Linked DNA regions of Mus musculus: regions 2 and 3 are each reported to be linked to region 1. The links are microRNA targets in miRTarBase. Many come from high-throughput screens and were not tested one by one. Region 1 holds a microRNA gene; each other region holds the end of a gene's coding sequence.

Region 1 (7,000 bases):
GCCTCTGGCCCTCATGGAGGCTGAGACACCTGGAGCCCCATCTAGGTAGAGTCCTGCAGAGCAGTATTTGTGGCTGCTGTGGGCTATCCCACCCTCTCCAGAGTCCTTCTGAGGCAGGTTGTTAGAGCCTGGGTGCCCCAGACACAAGCACAGCTGGCCCTGACATTGTCTCTGTTTGTTCTCTTACAGAGGTCACCAGTGCAGGCCAACAACTCCACCAGCAAGACAGCTGGGACTCCTGCGGCCACTGTGCAGCAACTACAGGTCCACAGCGTCCAGCAGAGTGTCCCTGTCACCCAAGAGGTGCCTGACCAGGGCGGGCAGTAGCTAGGGCCATGGGTATAGGCCAAGTAGCCACCTATGTCTGGGTCCCTGGCCTGTGGGAGCTAAGCAGATGGACCCAGCTCCAGCCTACCATGTGAGCATTTGACGAGAGCCTCTCTCTGCCTCTATCTAGATTCAGCGTCCCTAGTTGTGACAGTTGTAGAGGTGCCTCACAGGGCACATTATGGCTTTGAAAACACACACTGGTAGGCCAGAGAGATTGCTCAGTGGGTAAAGCACACTTGCCACCAATCCTGATAACTGAGTTCTGACTTCTACACACACAAACACACACACACACACACACACACACAGAGACAGACAGACAGAAAAGAAAAGCAAAGCCTGCAGGGTGAGCATTTGCCCATCATACACAGGCCCTGGGTGTCATCTCTTTTCTGCAAAACCAAAAAGCCAGCTTTCTGGGGAGAAGAAGCACCAAGGCCTTCAGATTTTACATCTGTTTTAATTTTTCTTCAGATTTTACATTTGTTTTAATTTTTTTTTAGTGAGCATGGGTGTTCTGCTTGCATGTGGGTCTATGCACCATGTTTGTGCCTAGACGTGGAGTTAAAGCTGTGTCGGTGCTAGGAATTGAACCTGGGTCCTCTGGAAGGACAACCAGTTTCCTTAACCACAGATCCATCTCTTAAGCCTGCCATTCTCACGATGTGCTCAACCTTCCAAAGGAGACTGAGTTTCCTAATACCATCACAGTGGCCTGAGCAGGCCAAGATGCAAGGATGGTCTTGTATCTCCTTGTTAACTGCTTAACTCTTGGGATTCTTGGCTTTTCAAGAAAACAAGACATGGTTTGTGTGTCCTCATAGCCTCAACTACAAGAGACTCAGGCCAGATCCCCACTTCAAGGCCAGTCTGGACAATGTAGTGAAACCCTGATTCAGAATAAAAATTGAAAAACAGTGCTGGGGTGTAGATTAGTGGTAGAGAGCTGGCCTAGCATGCATAAGACCCCAGGTTCCCCAGTACCAGGCTGAAAACCTCAAATAGGCCCGAGCTGTAGGCTCTTCCCTAGAGGAAATGGGAACCTTCTAATTCAAAGGATCCACAGGTATTCCCTTCCCGTGCAAGAACCACTCTGAACCTCCAGATGGCAGAGGCAGGCAGTAAGAGACCTGGAAGGCCTGTATTAACTGGACCCCACACGGAAAGGCTGCTCTCTGTCTGAAGAATGACAGCCTTTCCCAAGACGGCTGTTCTGAGCATGCATGGGACAGGCTGCCCTAGTTGCCATGGTTACCATACTCGAACTTGCCTCTCCTTGCCCTTCTTTGCCAGAGGTCAGTAGTCCAGGCCACTCCACAGACCAAAGCTGGCCCGGTGCAGCAGCTGACTGTGCAGGGACTGCAGCCAGTTCACGTTGCTCAAGAGGTGCGTGTCCTATCTGTCTATGTCGGGGCAATCAGACTAGTCCTGGGCTGTGGCTGGAGGTACAGGCACCTAATCCAGAGGGAGGAATGGAGCCAGCTGGGGACCCTAAAGGGCAGACAGTGGGGGCAATTGAGGTTTGAAGCCCTGCAGAAGTGAGGTTTCACTCTAGCCCTCGGCTTCAGACTTCATCCTGAATCCGTCCCCATCCCAGCACCTGACCACTCAGGACACAGGTCTTGTTGAAAGAGGGCTGGATTCGAATTCCGCTTCTTTCTGATAGTGCCCAGTTCGTTCCTCTCTTCTCTAAGGAGATCCCAAGTGGGGAATCTTCATTCGGGTGGCCATGAGTTCACAGCCGGGTGATACCCCAGTGTCTCTGTTTGTCCTCCAGAGCTCAGGCAGTCAGTTTCCCGCTAGGAAGGCAGAGCAGCAAGAAACCCGGCCCACGCCGCCGCCGGAGCCGCCGCCCCGGCCTCCCGGGCCTGGGCCAGTGTGCTGCGGCGAGGTCTTGCAGCTAGGCAGCGAGCAGCAGCCGCTCCATTACGAGCCGGGTGTGGAGCAGTGGGTGGAGCTGGTGGGCATGCTGCCCCCACACCTGCTCCTGCCGCAGCAGAGGGTGGTCTTCGAGCCACAGCGGGGGCTCTCGGCCCGAGCCAGCCCCGACCTGAGGGTCAGGATCCACAGAATGCCCCAGGTGCTAGTGTTCGGCACCGCCCTCAAAGTAGGTGGCGGCGGACAGCGGAGGCACGGCAGGGGGCGGAGGGCGGGCAGGGGAAGGGCATTCAGCCCAGCAAGCCGCTTTGCCTCGCCTTCAAGTCCAGGCTCCCAGGCTTCGCCCCTGCAACCCAAGGCGGGTGGGGTGAGATGTCTTTACCCTGTCCCCCAAAGTGCTGCCAGTCATTCTTGTTCTGCCTCAGGGACTGGGTCCCAGACACGGCTCCTGCAAACCAGGGTTGGGGGTGGAGGTAGGCTATCCAGTACCTGCCCCTAAGGTGTTGTCAGTTGTTTCTAGTTGTTCTATCAACTGATCCCTCTTCAGGCTCCACCCCTAATCTGCTTGGGAAACCTTTTTGGTTTCCAGAAAACCCCCAGGCCCGGTTTTTAGATTGCAAACCCACCTCTCAAGCCCATTGCAGAATTCTGTCTGGTATCCCCTCCTTTGCTCATAAGCCTTAGAAACCTCTTTGCCAAAGCAGAGAATCCCAGCACCTCCTGTTTTCCAGCCACAACTGAGACCTGGCCCCACCTAAGCCTCCTACCTAAGCCTCCCACCTCTGGCCCATGTTGTTCAGAAAACCATGATGTGCAACCTTCTAGATGGGGATGTATGTGGGCATCAGTGAACCCGTGGGTGGTGGTCAGCCCTGACCCATGACCCTGCTTTTCCTCCTGCTTCAGGTACAGCAACTCCCTCAGGTGCCTGTCCCACACGTGTATTCCAGCCAGGTGCAGTACGTGGAAGGTGGCGATGCCAGCTACACAGCCAGCGCCATGTAAGTGGGCAGAGGGTGGAAGGAGGGCTCAGATGTGGTTAGGGCCACAATTCTAACTCCCAGCTGGCCCCCAAGGCTCAGGTGATAGCCCCACACCTGTGGGGTGCCAGGAATATAGGCAGCTGGTAGCAGAAGAGACACTGGCCCATTGGGAAGGCACCTCCACAAATTAGGAGCTGTGCAGTTAGATGGATCTGGATTTTAGGCAGGAAAAGGGGAAAGAAAAAGCATACATATATGTATTTATACATACATTTTTACAACATAAACTTTTTTTGAGACAATGTCTCTCTGTATAGCCCTCACTGCCCTGGAACTTGATCTGTAGACCAGGGTAGCCTTGAACTCAGAGATTTGCCTGACACTTCCTCTCTCGTGCTGGAACCACAGGTTCTCAATCTGACCCTCAGTGTCCCACAGAGTAATTAGTGTGTCCCGTTTCTCTGCTTCTACTCAGAAGTGCTCTGAGCATAGAACTGTCCTGTTTGAGCAGCACTGGGGAGGCAGAGGCAGGAGGATTGTCTTTTGTTATATTGACTTATGTGTGGGGAGAGTGCATGTGCTGTGGTGCAGGTGGAGATCAGAGAACAACCTAGAGGAGTCCGTTTTCTCTCTCCTTTACACAGGTTGCAGGGGCAAATCCAGTTCCTCGGGCTTGCATATTCTGTCTTACAATTTTTCTTGGGGGTTAGGGAGATAAATCAGTAAATGGCTTGCTTCTTGCTTATCAGACCTGAGAAGCAAGGTCATGACCTGAGGTCAGAACTCAAGTACTAGGTAAGAGGTTCATGTGGTGAGTCTCTGACCCCAGAGCCACCTTGCTGGCCCTCGTGTGTGTGTGTGTGTGTGTGTGTGTGTGTGTGTGTGTGTGTGTGTGTGTGTGTGTGTGTGTGTATACACATGTGTTCGAGTGTGTGCATGGGATGATGGGGGGGGGTTGTATGCACCATGTATTGAGCGTAGTGCCAATGCTAACACTGGAGTCTGTTTGCTGTGTGGCTTTGGGGATCAACCCCAGGTCTTCGGTCTTGATGGCAAACATCCCCACCCACTGAGCCACCTGCAAGGCTCAAGTTTTCCTGCTTTAATCACTGTCACATTGGGAGGGCTCAAAGAGCAAAAGTGAGAGGTGGCCCTGCCTGTCCCCTCCCCACAGAGAGCCTTCTGCCTACACACAGGGTGGTCTTTTCCTCATCCCAACCTCTCGTTTCTGGCTGTCCATCGGTACCCAGTGGAGGACTCAAGGCAATCATGTTGCGTCTCCTCTTCCTGCCTCACCCCCTCTAGTCTGCAGCCTGCAGAGATGGGCCCAAATGTTAGGGTGGCTTGCTTGCTACAGTTGCCCCTCTTAGATCTGCGGCTTATTACCCTATGCGGCACTCAGGACATATTCTGAGTTGGAGGGGCAGCTCCCTGCCAGGAAGAGGTAGCCAAGGCGGCCCCTCTGCCTACCCTGCAGTCCTTTGTACTTTGCCTTCCCTCCTGTATCTCCCTTCCCTGGACTGAGAACTGTTTGTCGTTGTTGCCGAGGAAGTACGTTCTGCATTCTGGACCCTGTCTTGTTTTCTCCTCTTCTGCAGTAAGGAAATTGATTCCTGTGCTGGAGTGCAGTGGTTCAGTACCAGTGAGTGCTGTGGCTCAGTACCAGTGAGGAGAGTGATTCCTGTGCTGGAGTGCTGTGGCTCAGTGCCCAGCGAGGGCTGGTTCAATGGCTCAGCAGTGCTTGCTGCCGGGCTTTACAGTCTGAGTTCAGTCTCCAGGACCCACAGTGGAAGGAGAGCCCCGCCTCCCACAAGTTGTCTCTGACCTTTGTGTGTATGCCACGGAACACATGTGCCCCTCTCCAAGTAATAAGTTAATATAAAGACATGTTTTAGAAAACAAGAAAGTGGTTGCCCATCCAGTGCTCAGGCTGTCCCCAGTCCCTTATATGTGAAGGTGCCACACTGGTGTTTCTGTGGCTTCTCTGGTCCTCTCCTGGAACCCCTGCCTCCTTGTACAAGGTGGTGACCATTGCTTCCTGTCTGCTTCTTGGCAGCCGCTCTAGCACCTACCAGTACCCGGAGACGCCTATCTACACGCAGACGGCAGGCACCAGCTACTATGAGGCTTCGGGCACGGCTGCCCAGGTCAGCACGCCGGCTACTTCCCAGACGGTGGCCAGCAGCGGCTCAGTGCCCATGTATGTGTCCGGCAGCCCAATTGTCGCCAGCTCATCCAGCAGCGAGGCTGGGGCCAGCAACAGCAGTGTGGGTGCAGGGGGCAATGGGGGAGGCGGCAGCAGTGGTGGTGGCAGTGGCGGCAGCAGCGGCAGCGGAGCAGGCACCTACGTGATCCAAGGCGGCTACATGCTAGGCAATGCCAGCCAGTCTTACTCCCACACCACCCGTGCCTCACCAGCCACAGTAAGTGTTCGCCTTATTCAGAGGTGAGGGTGGGGGGAACACTCGAGAAAAAAACCTGGCAGTACTCAGAGAGCAGAAGTTTGGCCCAAGGCATAGCTCAGTGATAGTGCTCATATGACCTAGGGCCTGGTCTCATCTGTGGTGTTGCCTTAGGTGTTGCTCAGCCACTCTGTACCTCAGCTGCTATGTGAAGCTCTGAGGACAGTTGCAGAAATGCCCTTAGTCAGAACTGGTGGTGGCTTGATAGGAAATGAGAGATGGGAGCTCCTACAATCACAGTGGCAGAGCTGAAGTCAGCCCAAGTTGGGCCCATTATCAGTCAGGACCATGGATCAGGTCAGAACACTGCACCCTCCACATGGCAGCACACCCTGGCTGCTGGTCTTCACTAGTTTAGTCTATTTAATAAACCACTGCTGCAAACCTTCTGATTTCTCAACCCTGTGGGTCCTCTGGTGCAGCGAGCAGGTCTGCTGAGAAGGTGCACGTTGTTTGTGCCTGGACTAGACGCCTCTCACCTCGGTTACTGTTGCACCCAGGTGGCTAAGGTCCCTGAGGATCTGTGTTGTGGGCTTTTCCTTTTTCAGTTTTATTTGAAAGACTTATAGGCTCACAGGAAGCTATAAATATGGTACCAAACCCTGGTTGGGTGGCACGTGCTTGTGTGACCCCGGCACTGGGGAGGCAGAAGCATGAGTGGGTGTGAGGCTCCAGAGTTCCGAGCTGGTGAGGGGTACCCAGCGTAGCCTTCTTTCATGACTCAGTAGGTAGAGGCCCTGGCTACTAAGCTTGATTACCTGAGTTCAATCCCTGAAAGCCTCGTGCTGGCCAAGACCCAGCTCCTCTGACTTTCACACAGACCCTCTGTACATAAGTAAGTAAATAAATGTCGTAGAACAATGAACAGAAAGGGGCTAAGAATGGCCCAGGAGAAGCATGCCTGCTGTGAGAACAAGAGGTTCTGAGTTTGGAGTCCCCAGCAAGTCACAGCCTATCAGCCCAACACTAGGAGGAGCAGGGATGGAGAGGCACCTGGGGCTCACCTACAGCCAGCCAGACATAAACTCCAGCTTCAGTTTGAGATGTTGTCTTAAAAAAATCTAAGGTGGGGCAAGAGAGATGGCCCGTGAGTGGGAGCGGCTGTTCTTCCAGAGGACCCAGGTTCAAGTTCCAGTGCCCACATGGACCTCACATTGTCTATAACTCCAGTCCTAGGAGATCTGACACCTCCTTCTGGCCCCTTTGGGGATAGGGCATGTATGGGGTACATACATACATGTAGGCAGAACACACACACATAAAATGAAAATGAACAACAAAAACAAGCAACTGAGTTAAGCAACACCAGGAACTGAGCAACCGAGGAAAACATCAGCTGCTAACCTT
Region 2 (7,282 bases), not on the chromosome of region 1:
TCTTGATCATCCACAGAAGGTTCTTTTTGCCCAGCATAGCTGCCTGAGCTTCCTGAAGTAAAGACTCATAGCACCCCATAGGTACCATGGCTCATGCATGTAATCTCAGCACCCCGGAGGATGAGGCAGGAGGACTGCCCTGAGTTTGTAGTCACTCTGCACTACATGGTAACAAGACTTTGTCTCAAAACAAAACAAGGGCTGGCAATATGGCTCTGTGGGTAGAGGTGCTTGGCGACAAGCCTTATGAGCCAAGTTCAGTCCCCAGGACCTAAGAACTGATTCTCAGAGATGGTCTTCTGACCTCCATGCACGTCAGGACACACACTTACCCTCGTGTGTGTAGTATGTACACACCAAAATCAGTATAAGAGAAGCTGGCTTACTTTGAAGAATGAAATGAATACAGTTATTAAGTCTAAAAGTGTGGTCGTGCACCTTTAGTTCCAGTCCTTAGGAGATAGAGATAGGAGAATCTAGGGTTCAAGGTCTGCCTGCGCTCTGTAAGACCTTGTCTCAACCCCTCCTGCCCCAAAGAAGGGAAACACCACTCCGTAGACCAATAACAGGATAGTCTATAGCCGGCCTTTGTCCTTCATGGGTGGCATCTGGCCTTGCAGTGAGTTTCTCTCTTGAAGCCTGCCGACCATGTTCCTAAAGGCTTTGCTGGTTCCTGAGGTGTTCTGAGGCCCATCTGTCCAGGCTGCTGCTGCTTGTCCTAAAGGTTCAGTACTTAGTTTTGCAGAGCCCGCTCCCTTGACAAGTGTGAATGCCATTCTTTTTTCCTTTTCCTTAGGGTCCACCAACAGCAGACCCAGCATCCCAGTGGAGGAGAGCCCTGGGCGGAACCCAGGAGTGTAACTGCTTGCCGGACAGCCCCGAGCTGGAAATGGACAAGCGTTTGGGGAGCTGGGAGAGCCGAGCAGGAGCTTCATGCCAGCCTGTCCCCACCTATCCTGGCCACGTTTTAGATGGCCCTTGTAAGCTGTGGGTCCTGAGCCGCCTCGGTGCCAGAGCCTCCAGCCGTCCTGCTGTCCTTGAGGAGATGGGGTTGACAAAGCGGCCCTCCAGAAGCCTGTTTCCGAGGGGACAAAAGAAACAGCGTCATCTCTAGTCCCCAGCTCCCAGCTTCCCCGGTGCTGTAACAGCACAGTGTGTTTATGTGTCTCCCTGAGCCCAGGGCCATGCGGGTACAGCCACTGCCTTTACATGGCCCTGGCCTGTGCTCATTCTGCTTTTGGTTGGCCAACCCTCTGTCAGTGGCGCCACTTTCTGAGCAAGCCAAGAGTGCTGAGTTTTGATGGAAGTGTTCAAATCCATGGCCCTGCCGTGTACTTCTTGGCTTCCCCTACAATGCCATATTTTGATTCATGTACCCCAGTTTCTCATGTGCCAAATCTAAGAGCACAGCTCCCCAATAATCTGTGCCCCGGTTCCGCTCCCTCCTGTGGAGGAAGCCCCTCTGGCTCCTCAAGTCATGAGCAGGCTGGCCCAGGGTCGCCTTGCATTTCTTTCCCACTTGGGCACGGCGCCACCACAGTATTGTCGATTTCTGTTTGAGGTCATTTGTGGAAGGCCAAAGGTCAGTGTTGACTGACCTGGGGCCGTGGCGCCTGCTGTACCTGTCTTGTGCTCTTGCCCTGAGCACCCAGGAAGGTGTGCAGCAGTGCACCGTGGAGCAGCAGTCAGTGAGGCGGTTGTAAGCCTGCAACGTCCTTGTCACTTGCTGAGAAGTCAGGGTTTTCTCGTATCTCTGAAATACTCAAACTCTGTGTGCTTTTGTCTTTCCAGTGATGTTTTAGAGACACGGGTGGAAAGATTCTTTCTCTTCTAGTTTACCTATACTTTTCCACAGTTTCAGCTCTGGGACAATAGATTGGGGTGGGAAGGGCGGATTTCTGGAACCATTCTTAAAAGAATATGGGCCCTTGTGAGACTTGGAAGCTAAGAGAACAGTGGTACGCTTGCTGAAAAAAATATTATAACAGAATGTACTCTGAGAACAAACCCAGGTTGGAAACAAATACTTTGAATTACCTGTCTCCAAAACAGAATTCTAAATTTCGGCTGAACCTCAGAATCGAGTTAGAACCTTGGATGCGTATGCTCACCTTGAACCCCCAGGGCTGTGGTCCTGAAGTGGTTTTAACCTCCTCCTAGAAGAGTCCCCTATGCCCTTTACCATCACCTCCTAAAGTTAACGTGTTAGATAACCTTGTTGCATTTACCAGAACTCAAATGTTAACATTGGAGTACTCAACTGAGGCCTTGATTTAGATCTCACTTTTTTTTTTTTTTGATTTCTGGCAATTGGAATCCAGATGCCAGGATGCACTTGGAGCTGTCGCTTCTTTAGACCTAACTACAGTAATTGCAGGTTCATAGGAAGTGGCAAAGACGCAGAGCCCTTGTACCCTTTATCTGGCTTTCCCCAGTGCTCCCATGTCACTAACCATAGTGTGCAGGGCTGTGGGGCTCTGCACTCTGCCACCTCTGTAGACCCAAGTAACTGCTGGAGAATACTAACCCGCTGGACTGTCCCTCGGAGCCACCTGCCCCCGCCCTAAGCCCTGGGACCATAGACTGTTCCATAGACTGTTCCTCAGCTCTGTCATTTTGTCATGTCAAGAATGTCGTTTGAGGGGCTGTGTTGCGTGCAGCTGGACTTTGGGATTGACTTCATCCAGCACAGTGCTCTGGAGGCTGTTCCAGGTCAGTGTGTCAGTGGCTCGCTCCTCCTTGCCAAATGATGTCCCGTGGTGTATTCAGTGTCCTGTCAGAGGACATCTGGGTTGTTTGCAGTTTTTGGCCTTTTCAAAATAAAGCTGCTATGAACATTCACGTACAGATACGGTGTGAAGACTGGTGTCCGCCTGGGATGTGCCAGCAACACAGGTGCCATGACGTTTACCTTAAAAAAGAACCTGCCTGGCCTTGGAGCGGAGCTGTGCACAAGTTTAAATTCCTACAGGAAATGTAGGAATGATCTGGTTTCTCCCCACCCCGACCCATGGGCCAATGACCATCAGTCCTTTGCTGTCTGTGGTTCTTGTCTGCTTTTCCTTGGTCTCGTCCATGAGCCTGTTCGTGTTTTCAGCTTGGCAACTGGTCTGTATTCCTTTCCATGTGTCTGTGCATCTCCACCCCACCCCCATCTTTTTTTTTTTCTCTTGGGAACTCTCTTGGGAACTCTTCAGATATTTAGATTCCAAAATCCTTCGTTGGATTTTTGGTTTGCAAAGATTATCTGTGTAGTGCTGTATTCTAGATCTGAATTGTGACCCCAGAGCTTGTATACTAAAGATTGAATCCCTGGGCTGCTCTGTTAGTGGGTTCTCCTGAGTTCATCAGGGCTCTGACCTCTGCCATGTTCTCCCTCTGTAAAGTGTGTGGTCTAAAGGACCAAGCAGCCACAGGCTCCCATGGGCCTCCATCTCAGTAACATTAACTGTGTTCTCACCGCAAGGTCTTGTACAGGTGGAGGGTTTGGTTGGGGGGGGGTTGTTTTTTGTTGTTTGTTTGTTTGTTTGTTTTTGGTGTTTTAAGCCAAGAGTTTGTCTGTATAGCCCAGGCTGGCCTCAAACTCAGAGATTCACTGCCTCTGACTCTCAAGTGCTGGGTCTAAAGGCATGCTCTGCCACGCCTGGCTCATCTTAAAGGTTTTTGTGATTAAAGTCTCTCTCTCTCTCTTTTTTTTGTTTTGTTTTTCGAGACATGGTTTCTCTGTGTAGCCCTGGCCGTCCTGAAACTCACTCTGTAGACCAGGCTGGCATTGAACTCAGAAATCCACCTGCCTCTGCCTCCCAAGTGCTGGAATTAAAGGCGTGTGCCACCACTGCCCGGCCTGATTAAATTCATTTTTATCAAATTTTCCATTGTACTTTTACCATATCTGTCTCAATTGCCTTTCTTCCTAATAGTTTGTTTTACATGTAAGCTTGTGGTCCATTTTGAAATATTGTTTCTTTAAATAAGGCTTGGGTCCTAGCTGGTTTTTGTATGTGTGTGTTTTTCATGTCTGTGCTTAGTGCCTGCAGAGGCCAGCAGACGTTGGCTCCTTCTGGACCTGGATCCTTTGGAAGAGCTGGGGGACAGCTGGTGACTTGCAAAACTTAAACTCTTGGCCCTTTGCCAAGTTTTCTGAGCCCTGGCCTCCTATTCAAATGGTAAATCTTCCCCATAGTATGTTTGGGTGGATTTGTGTGGCACCCTGAGTTGTCAGCTAATTCATGTTAGTTTCTGTCTACTGCACTCCAGATCACTAAAGCTGAACCCACTTTAGGTCCCCCCCTCTTTTCTCTTAAACTAGGGTACCAGGCTGGGTGTGGTGCATGGCTTTAATCCTAACACTCAGAGGCAAGTGGATCTTTTGTGTTCAAGGCCCACCAGCCTGTTTTACAGAGTGAGTTCCGGGACAAAATCCTGTCTCAAAACAAAACATGGCCAGGTGTGGTGGCACACATCTTTAATCCCAGCACTCGGGAAGCAGAGGCAAGTGGATTTCTGAGTTCGAGGCCAGCCTGGTCTACAAAGTGAGCTCCAGGAGAGCCAGGGCTATACAGAGAAACCCTGTCTCAGAAGAAAAAAAAAAAAAAAAAAAAAAAAGGGAGGGGACAGCCTGTGGGCCAAGCTGACCTCAGAGTGCCCTGCCTCAGCCTCCCAGATGCTGAGATTACAAGCATGAGACCCATACCTGCCTTTTAGTTCCTTTTTTCTTTTTAAGTCTCACGCAGTTCAACCTAGACAGGAACTCAAAGTAATCCGAGTCCTCTCAAGTGCTGGGAGATATATATATATGTATGTATGTATGTATGTATATATATATATATACACACATATACACACATACATATATATGAAGGAACCACATATGGTTCAGATTGTTTGGGGTATACACTTGCTTACAAAGTTTAGAAAAATCCTGTTTACATCTGGCTTGGGTTTTGGTAGGACTGTGTTAAGCCTGTATGTTAACATCTTGGGGAGAGCTGATATCTTGTGCCTTCTTTATTTATTTATTTATTATATGTAAGTACACTGTAGCTGTCTTCAGATGTCCAAAAGATGGCGTCAGATCTCATTACAGATGGTTGTGAGCCACCGTGTGGTTGTTGAAATTTGAACCCAGGACCTTCGGGAGAGCAGTCAGTGTTCTTAACTGCAGAGCCATCTCTCCAGCCCTATCTAGTTTTAAACAGTTGTAATAGAACTATGGTTTTTGTATCTGTGTGTTCACTACTATTAGGGAAGAGATAGATTTTTGTTTGTATTGTATCCTGGACTATTACGGTACTTCCAACCCACCACCCACCTAGGATCCCTTATAATTTGCTCAGATTCGTAGATTACCGTGTCTTCAACCAATACTTGGATCTCATTTTCAGGGCTGCTGACCTAATACCATTAGGACTGTTAGAAAGGTCTCACTGTAGCCCTGGCTGGTCTCGAGCTTACCTGTCGGTCAGGCAGGCCCTGAACTCAGGACTCAGAAGCAGACCCATCAGTACTGGAATTAAAGTTGTGCATCACCACACGCAGCAGACATCATGACTTTAAAAATGTGTAGTGATTCTAAGCACAACTGAAGTTGAGAAGTGTGGCTTTCTTAATTTGTCCATCAAGGGGCAAAGATAGAGATCCCAAACCAGGCAGGCCCCCTTTGTGCATGCAAATGCATGTGCGCACGTGCGAGCACACATGGCACTTGGTACCATGTCATGCTGTCAGTTGGGAAGGTGATGGTCTTAGTCTTTGCAGTTGGTTTCTACTGTGTAGCCCAATATCTGGCCTCCTCCCAGTCCCCATGAGGCAACCAGGCTGAGGTGAATAGAGTCAGTTTAATGAGAAAACATTGATCTGTATAAAAAGGTGCTTTGTGTGTCAGCTAAGTGTCCTCATTTCTGAGGAATTGTCATATTGAGTAGGCTTGAATGTCTGTGTTGCCCACGGCACCAGTGTCAAGGTGCACGCTGGCTGGCATGACAGGGCAGGGCCTGCCCCATGGAAAGATACATGCCCCTTTGGAGGGAACACTTAGTCAGGTTATACTTAGTCAGGTTCTTCAAGTCGTCGTCATAACAATGGCCATAGGCTGCCAAAATTAATCAAAAAATAACTGCTGCAAAATGGGCATCAGCTGGGGCTGTTCAAGAGGCCTTCACCTTTTGCCCTTCACTCAGCCTTCAGTGGGGGCCCTGCCCGCAGTACAGGTTTACACCAGTGAAACTGGAAACAGCTGGGAGAGAAAGCAGCCACCCGGGAGCCTGTGTGAAGTCCTCTTTACACTACCAGCTGGCATGGGACCAGAGAGGGATGTATACTGTTGGCATTGTCCCAAAGCAAGGTGCAGGACTCCTCAGTGTGTAGGGCCTACAGAGCCTAGTCCCGGAGCTTTCTCCTGCACCAGGGGGCATTAGAGCCTCAGGGTAAGCCAGGGTTGCGGGCCACCGCCCCACGAGGTGAGTGGGCCACAAGCAATCCCCAGCACCCGGTACCCTGACCTCACATACGGTAAGCAAGGCTGCCTGGAGCCTTTAGGTAGAGCTTCCCCAGAGTAACGCTAGCTAGTTCCAGCTCATCACGCTCCAGCTTCTGGAGCAACCTGGTAGATCCTGGCTTCTGTGGGGCCTCAGTCCTGCTGACATGCCCCTCAGCCTGCCGAATCCCACCTTCAGAGCTCTGAAGACGAGATGGCTAGAACTGCCAGACACTACCAGGGCTGCTACTGGTAGAAATGAAGTCCCAGGAGAAACGCTGCCCAGAGGACGGAAGTGACCTGCACGGTGCCTGGCACTCAGCCTGCTTCTCTCATGCCCTGGATGCAGCTGCTGGCCACATCTGAATGTCTACTTAGATGAGAATAGGCCAAGACCAGTCCGTGGTCTAAGGACTGGTAGACGGAGGCCTAGACCCAGCTGAGGGTAGCACTGGTCAGCTCACTTGTGCTCTGGCCTTGGCCCTCATCTGGACCCCTTTGTTTCTTGCTGCCCTGTGGTCCTCGGCTCCAGCCCTGGCAGGGAACAGGGTTCCTCACTGAAACCCAGGAGGCTGCTCTACCTGTTGCTTCAGGCCGGAGGAAGCAAAGCCAGAGAGAAATTAGGACTGGGATAAAGAACTATTTAGGACTGGTGGATGGGTGTGGAATGGTGGCCGTGGGTGATCCACAGGTGCCAGTCATCAGCACCGGGTACGGGGATGGCCCACGTGGGCCTGGAGTGCGTCCCGGATGCCCCGCTGCCAGTCTCGAGCCAGCTGCACTGGTGTCTGGGAAGCCTGTGAACAA
Region 3 (7,282 bases), not on the chromosome of region 1:
AGGAGTCTCCAATCCAGAGCAGTACCATTATCAACCCTTCACATGTCAGGGATACCCCTGTCCCTCCAGGACACGGTGACACAGATCTGTAATCTTAGCACTTGGAAGGATGGGGCAGAAGTATGGTTGGTTTGAGAGAGAATGAGGGAAGAGGAGGGAGGTACTTTGCTGTGAAGCCATCTGAAGTCGAGCTGTGATGAGTTAGGTACCATCTCTTAAGTCACCAGTCAGGCTAGCTCAGTCCCCAGCTACAAGGCCCTGGCAACAGTCACATCTACCAGCCTTTGTTGTCCTCCAAGCCCCATGCTTCTGGTCTGTAAACTTGGTGGTGGTGACCATGTGGCCACCCCTCACCTCCCCTTTCTCTGTCCCAGTCCAAAGAATCATCTTCTGTACTGAGCTGCGACATCTCCAGGAATAATAAGTACATCGTGACAGGCTCAGGGGACAAGAAGGCCACTGTGTATGAGGTGGTGTACTGAGCCATCTGCTGCCTTTTCAGGTCACCTGCCCTGGATGGCTGGCCACTCGGGACACGGGCCCCTCTGCTCATACCTGGCTTGCTCCCTCCTGGCTGGGTGGGGCTGGGGCACTGGGGAAATATAACACATTTATCAACTTGCTTTCTTTCTGTGTGTGTGTGAAGCGTACAGGTGAGGGACCCGACTGGGTATCAGCCTTCATTTCTCTTTGCCCCAATTTTCAGAGTGTGGATCTCACTAATGAGCCTCACAGACAGGTCAACATGCCCCAGGAATCCTCCTGTCTCTACCTACAGAGCTGGATCAGGGATTTACACTCACTCCTTATCCTGCCTGGTGTGGGCTTTACCAACTGAACCATCTTCCTGGCTCTCTTTAAAACAAAAACTGGGTGGGGCTAGTTTCTTAGTGTAGCACTGGCTGTCCTGAAACTATGTAAACCAGGCTGGTCTGGAACTCAGAAATCCGCCTGCCTCTGTCTCCTGAGTGCTGGGATTAAAGGCAAACACTCAGAAGTTGGAGGGCTCAGAGCTACAAAGTTCTTCCAAAACCTGGGTAAAGGACAAATCTCTGCCATTTCAATTGTTTTATTACACGCAACTCGGGATCTGCACACCCCATGGAAGCCTCTAGAAGCACTGCAGACCCATCACACCCATTGCCATCCACCACTGTGCAGTTAGGGGAGGGGAGTTGAAGTTGTCAGTACTTGATGTGGTACACCGAGGCACAGTCCCTGGATCCTGTGATGATGAGCCTGCCGTTCTCAGTCATGTCGAAGCATCTGACAGGGCCAACCTCGGGGACCTGAGACAGCAGCTGAGTGAGCTCAGTTCCTCTCCACCCAGAGCTTCAGAAATGACCCCTGTGGGGATGATGCTGAGGGTCCCGCTGACAGAGCCCCCAGTGCCCCCTGCACATAAGTACCTGGAACAGTTTTGCTCCGGTGGGCATGCTGTGGACCGTGATGAAGTTGCCCATACCGACGCTCGCCCACCACTTGCCTAGGAGGAGGGGAAGGAAGACAGGGAGGTTACAGCAGACCCCACCCATTCACTAACATCCAGCAGCACCCAGGAGGCTGAGGCAGGAGGACTGAGAGAGTTTGAGATGAGAATGAGTCTAGGCTACATGAGACCTTGCCTCAAAGAACAAGGCAGAACAGCAAAAAGTTTTACTGTTTTGTCTTTTGTTATGTTTTGCCGTCTGAAGCCTTTTATAGCTCAGGATAGCCTTAAGCTCCCCAAGTAGCCAGAGATGACTCTGAACTCCTGATTATGATTATGTTAATAAAAGATGTTGGAGTGTGGACAATACCCAAGCCCTGACTGGGCACTGAGTAAATAGCAGGGTCCTCTGAGAGGCCAGTGGCCACAGTGTGCACCCATCCTCAGTGGACTGGTTTCCCAGACAGGGTTTCTTTGTGGAGTCCTGGCTGTCCTGGAACTCTGTACACCAGGGCTGGTCCTGAACTCAGATCCACCTGCCTCTGCCTCCCCAGTGCTGGAATTAAAGGCGTGTGCCACCATGCCCAGGCTCAGTGGACTCCTTACCATTTGGGGAGAACTTGAGGCCTAAGATGGTGTTGTCCTTGGTGTCCACAGTGAGCACCTGGTCCCTCTTCCTGCTGTTGAACAGGCAGTGCTGGCCATTGGCCAGGCCCAGCAGCAGCCAGTCTTCGGTCGGACTGTGAGCCAGGCTCATGATCTGGGTGAGCCAGGCAGAGGTAGCAATCAGACCCCTGCTGGGCGGCCAGGCTGCAAGGTCCCCGCCCGAACGCCCGCCCACCCAATGACTCACTGACTGGCTGTGGCCCGACTGTGTCTCCACACCTTCCTTCTGTGAGGTGTATGAACTTCACAGGGTTAACTATGGCAGTGACAAGTCTGTCTCCCTGGTTGGTTTTATTGGGACATGGTCTTGCTCCATAGCCTAGGCTGTAGTGACTTGCCACATAGCCCAGGCTGGCCTTGAACTCCAGCATAAAATATTTGCAACGATAGTCTTTGAGACCGGCTTTTATGTAGCCCAGGCTATCCTTCAGGTTCCTGTGTAGCTGATGACCACCTTAAACTTCTGACCCTCCTTCCCCCAGCTCCCTAGTGCTGAGTGACAGGAAAACATTCTACCCCCTAGATCCAGCTCCTTCTCCACTATGTAGCCCAAGATGGACTCACTTTTTCATCCTCTTGCCTCAGCTTGAGTACTGGGACGACAGCCTTCTCCACCATTGTCCAGTATGACAAAAGGTATTTTAAAGACCCCTGTGACTTCTCAAAAATTCCTTGAGCTGACCTGGGCTGTTCCCTCTCCTGACACTGAGTGCACCTTGTCATTGTACCCAAAGGCCCACGCCTGTGCAGCCACCCTTCCTGTGCACCTGGGACTGGAACAGATGCTCCAGTGACACCTTGGCCATCCGCAGGTCCCAGCATCGCAGGCAGGCGTCCAGACCCCCTGTCCAGATGTTGTCATCTTTGACCACAAGGTTCCTGGCCGAATTGGTAGGGCCTTTGAGGTTCCTGGCCAGAAAGCAAAGGGGTAAGCCTAGGCTCGACAGTCCCTAAGATTCCCTCAAAGCCGTGGGACTAACCCAACCTGAGGTACTCTTAACACCTTTGGCAAGAAGGCAACAGTGACATCATCCTAGTCCCTGCCTCTAAAAGGTAATGTTCCAATACCTATAAATCCAGTACTGAGGAAGTTGAGGCAGGAGGATTGCCATGAGTTCCAGGCCAGGCTAGGGTACATAGAGACCCTGCCTCAACAATGAGGGTGATGGAGAAGACCCAAAGCTGGCTGTGGTGACTCACAATTGTCATCCCAGCTACTCGGGATTAAGAGAGGATGATTGCGAGTTAGAGCCATCCTAGGCTTCAGAGCAAGTTCAGCATCATCCCTGAAAACGTCACCTGATCCGACCTTAAGATAAAATCTGAGCAGGGCTTGGCAGCACAAGCCTGTCATCCCAGCACTCTGGAGGCAGAGGCAGGTGGATCACTGAGTTCCAAGGCTAGCCTGGTCTACAGAGTGAGACCCTATGCCAGATAAAATGAATAAAAGTAAAAGTGTTGACCAGATGGCTCCCAGGTCACTCAGTGGGTAGAGGAGAGCCGAGTTCCAAGAACCCACTTAGTGGAAGAACAGGCTCCTGCAGGTTGTCCTGAGCCTCTGTTCTCCCTTGTCCTACAAGAATTACAATGAGCTGGGCAGTGGTGGCACACGCCTTTAATCCCAGCACTTGGGAGGCAGAGGCAGGTGGATCCAGGCCAGCCTGGTCTACAGAGTGAGTTTCAGGACAGCCAGGGCTGCACAGAGAGAAACCCTGTCTCGAAAAACAAAACAAAACAAAGCCCACGAAAAACAAGATTTACGAATAAGCCAGGCACACACAGCACTTGGAAGGTGAAGGCAGGAAGATAAGGAGAGTTTAAGGTTCTCCTCCTCTGTGCTTGAGGACAACCTGGGCTACATGAGACACTTACCCTAACCTAAAGGTAAACAAGCAGGCTGTGGGCGTGGTCAGGGATAGGGTAGAGTCCCACCCAGAATCCCCTAGTGAGGGGACTAGGGTGTGGCTCCACTCTGGGGGAGTGGGGTTTGGGTAAGAGCTCAGAACTCGTAGTCCGCAGCTCACAGTGCTCCTGTCCCTGTGTCTGCACCTGACTATTTCCTGAGTCCGTAGGTCCCATATCCTGACCGTGCCATCTGTGAAGCCGGCAAGGGCCATGTTTTCCTTTGTGTTGGCCAGTGCCTGGCAGGACAGGCCCTCGCAGGGCAGCTGGCACTTCTCATACAGGGATGGGGCTGCCAGGTCCCACACGATCACGCCAGGTAAGTTGTATCCACCCGCGAACAGGGTCCTGCTGTTGGAGGACAGCAGGCAGGTGCGCAGGTACACCTTGTTGTCCTGCAGAGGATCGTCCCGGCGAGTGAGGGTCAGTCGTGGCTCTTCCAGCACCTCCCATCCCCAACCCCGTCCCTGCCCCGTCACCTGGACGCTGCATTTCAAGTGGCTTTCTGGGTCTCTGTCCTCGGCCACCTGGTTCACGAGGTTCCACACCTTGATGCCGCTCTGGCTGCAGGTGAAGACGTGCCGCGTGAAGGAGCTCACAGCTACCACCAATAGCAGTTCCTGGTGCTTCAGCACACGCACCTTCTGCAGTGCTTGGGGGACAGTGAACCTCTCTAATTGCCAGAGTGCTGTGCTAGGCTGATTACAGCTGCTCTCTAAGACTTCAGAGCCCCAGGACCTAGGGATATGGGACACAGAGTGAAGTTTTCAAGACAGGGTCTTAGTCCAGGTTGGCCTTGAACTCTGTATGGAGCAAAGGCTGACCTTGAATTCCTAATGCTCCTGCCTCTACCTCATGAGCGCTAGGAGCCAGGCTCCAGTCACATTCTTCAGTTCTTGCCACAGCCACACATGCGTCCCTACTCTAAAACGCTTTGCTCAAGTCGACTGAGCTCCTGTGCACCCTTATAGACCTAATTATTACAGCCCCTTCTCCAAGACATCGTTCTCCAACTACAAGACTGAGAATCTAGGTTGAGATTTAAGTGAGACGTTCCTTCTTTAACCCTTTACAAGTTGTTCTTATATTTACTCATTAATGGGGTGTGGGGGGGTGGAGGGTAGAGAGGAGGCAGTACAACCTGCGGGAGTCATTTTTCACTTTCAACTGTGTAGGTCCCAGGGATCAAACCCAGGCCTAGGCTTGGGAGCAGGCACCTTTACCTGCTGAGCCCTCTCACAAGCCCCTCCATCTTCCACCACCAGTTAAGGACATGGAAAAGGGACAGAGACAGGGAGGCGGGGTGGGGGAGACAAGGGTGAGGTAACCCCGCTTTCTCCCTGCAGAGGCCAACACTCACAAGGGCTTCAGAAATTTATCAGCTCTTCCAGAAGATTCCTGTGGTACAAAGAAAGAAGCTGACGCTGCTGGCTTGTGACCTCCCCTCCATATCTGCATCCAGGTCTCCCACTCACCTGCGTCTCAGGTTGGGGCCGACTGACGTCTTCTTGGTAATAATCTAGAAGAGCTGAGGGAGACTTGATCAGGAAGGGGTCGGCTGTGTGGAGGAGACAGGATTCAGGGGTGACCCAGGAACTATGGCCCTGCCCTCCGAGGCCCCACCCCTCTCACCAGAGTCACTCAGGCTGTTTCTGTGCCTGGGCTGAGGTTCTGGTTTAAAGTCACACAGGCCTGAATCTTTGCTTTCCTGGGAGACAGAATTGGGTCAGATGGGGGACACGTCACCCCAGGGGGGGACACCCAGCAGATGCCTGGGGGTTCCTGGCTGCAGTGGGGATGTTCCTGAGGGGTCAGAGTGCAGGGATGAGGAAGGAGGGTACTGAGGGGACACTATGGGGTAAAATCCTTTGGGGTTCCAGTCAAGGGTACTCACCAATTCCAGCAGCTTCTCTGTTGCCATGACAACAGGCAAGGTGGGGGGAGGAGAGAGGGAAGAAGAGGGAGAGAAAGGCTTGTGCCTGGGAGTTCCCCCTCACCTGTGAGGAATCCTCACCCCCGTGTTCCTGTTGGTTCTTTTGGCGGCTGTCCATGAAAAGTTCCCAGAGTCCCTGGATCAGGAAGCCTTGACAGAACTGGGGCTCCGCGTCCCAGACCGGCTGTGGGTCCTGGAGCTCATCACTCTCTGAGAGGAACCGACGTCTGGTGGGCAGCTGAGGCCCCGGGGTGCTTTTGAACTTGGGGTGCTGGAGGGCTGCAGACTCTGGGACCTGTTTGTCTTCTTCCTTAGCTGAGTTCTCTGTGGTCTGGGCAGAGCCCATTGGGGCCTCATGAGACACATGACATGGCCAACTGTCCCCTTCAGCCCCAACACCAATACTCATCTTGTTCCTCTCCAGGAGGTCTGGGGTTCTACTGAAGCGCTCTATCGCCTGGAAGAAGTTTTCTGCCTAGAACAAGTTAGGATGGAGCCTTGCTGAGGGCACAGATGTGGGGAAGGGGAGCCTGTGCCAAAGCTTGGCACTAGGTAAGCTCTTCCCGCCAGGATAAACCACACCCTACACATCCAGGCATGGTGGTGCACACTTGTTCACCCTTCCCTTCAAAAGCTGAGGCAGGAGGATCAGGAGTTCAGGGTCATCTTTGGCTATAGACCGACTTTGAGATCCTATCTCAAAAAACTTCAAAAAAAAAAAAAAGAAAAGAAAAGAAAAGAAAACCAGTAATCACCATCATCAAGGGCTTAGATGCAGCCCTTGATGCACAAAGCCCTGCCCCTCACCCCAGCAAGGCCTACAAAGGATTTAGTGTTATTTTTCACATTGGAAAACTGAGGCCCAGAGACTCAAACAGCAGCAGCAGCAGCAGCAGCAGCAGCAGCAGCAGCAGCCGCCGCCGCCGCCGCCGCCGCCACCGCCAGACACTGTTTTTAATTTAGCCCTGCTCCTCCCCTGGGAGCTTTTGGAGAGCACCCAGGATGGAGAGGGGAGCACCTGGGATGGAGCTGGAAGGCCCAGGATCTGCCTCCCTGGGAGATGATGGATTGCAGGGCAGCGCCAGCCTGGGGCTGCACAAAGCCCAGGGGAGCCCTCCCAATTTTTCCCGACTCATTATTGTGCAATTTACTGGCATTCTAGTGAGCCTGGAGCTCAGTGGGAATGGGGGAGAGAGCTGTTGCTCTGGGGGATTTGGGGGTATAAAATGGGGGGGGGGGGGAGGACACTGGCACAGCAGGGACTGGAAAGTGAGGCTCAGGGGCAGTTAAAAGCCTGGGAGCTTGGGAAGCCTGGAGCTGCGGAGAAACTGCCCAGGATATCATAGGCTACA

Evidence for each region. Region 1 holds the annotated microRNA mmu-miR-709 (GGAGGCAGAGGCAGGAGGA, at 3,709-3,727, shown strand). A microRNA usually pairs through its seed, bases 2 to 8, with sites in the 3' UTR of a target mRNA and lowers its output. Matches are read on the target gene's strand: a 7mer-m8 pairs with bases 2 to 8, a 7mer-A1 pairs with bases 2 to 7 and ends in A, and an 8mer does both.
Region 2: miRTarBase lists Cnnm3 as a target of mmu-miR-709. Seed matches in the 3' UTR shown: 7mer-m8 at 3,596-3,602, 7mer-m8 at 3,791-3,797 and 7mer-m8 at 3,797-3,803.
Region 3: the mRNA of Tle2 is a reported target of mmu-miR-709. Seed matches in the 3' UTR shown: 7mer-m8 at 952-958.

Annotation. Positions count from the first base shown.
Region 1 is chr8:84,082,459-84,089,458 of GRCm38, forward strand. It overlaps Mir709 (microRNA 709), which reads left to right and starts at 3,641; the gene lies at 3,641-3,728. Rfx1 (regulatory factor X, 1 (influences HLA class II expression)) reads left to right here. Exons shown (of 21, transcript NM_009055.4): 6 at 190-303; 7 at 1,624-1,716; 8 at 3,115-3,209; 9 at 5,248-5,614.
Region 2 is chr1:36,524,370-36,531,651 of GRCm38, forward strand. It overlaps Cnnm3 (cyclin M3), which reads left to right. Exons shown (of 8, transcript NM_053186.3): 8 at 797-3,868. The coding sequence ends at 861. It overlaps Ankrd23 (ankyrin repeat domain 23), which reads right to left. Exons shown (of 9, transcript NM_153502.4): 9 at 5,824-7,272. The coding sequence ends at 7,177. Among named protein-coding and RNA genes, the nearest start is that of Ankrd23, 7.7 kb to the right of the region's middle.
Region 3 is chr10:81,589,851-81,597,132 of GRCm38, forward strand. Tle2 (transducin-like enhancer of split 2) reads left to right here. Exons shown (of 21, transcript NM_019725.2): 20 at 375-502; 21 at 707-995. The coding sequence ends at 482. It overlaps Tle6 (transducin-like enhancer of split 6), which reads right to left. Exons shown (of 14, transcript NM_053254.2): 5 at 5,995-6,405; 6 at 5,630-5,705; 7 at 5,473-5,555; 8 at 5,358-5,395; 9 at 4,477-4,735; 10 at 4,145-4,392; 11 at 2,863-3,004; 12 at 2,036-2,189; 13 at 1,410-1,486; 14 at 1,055-1,289. The coding sequence ends at 1,185. It overlaps Gm32024 (a long non-coding RNA gene), which reads left to right and starts at 4,715. Exons shown (of 3, transcript XR_003949022.1): 1 at 4,715-5,508; 2 at 6,055-6,482.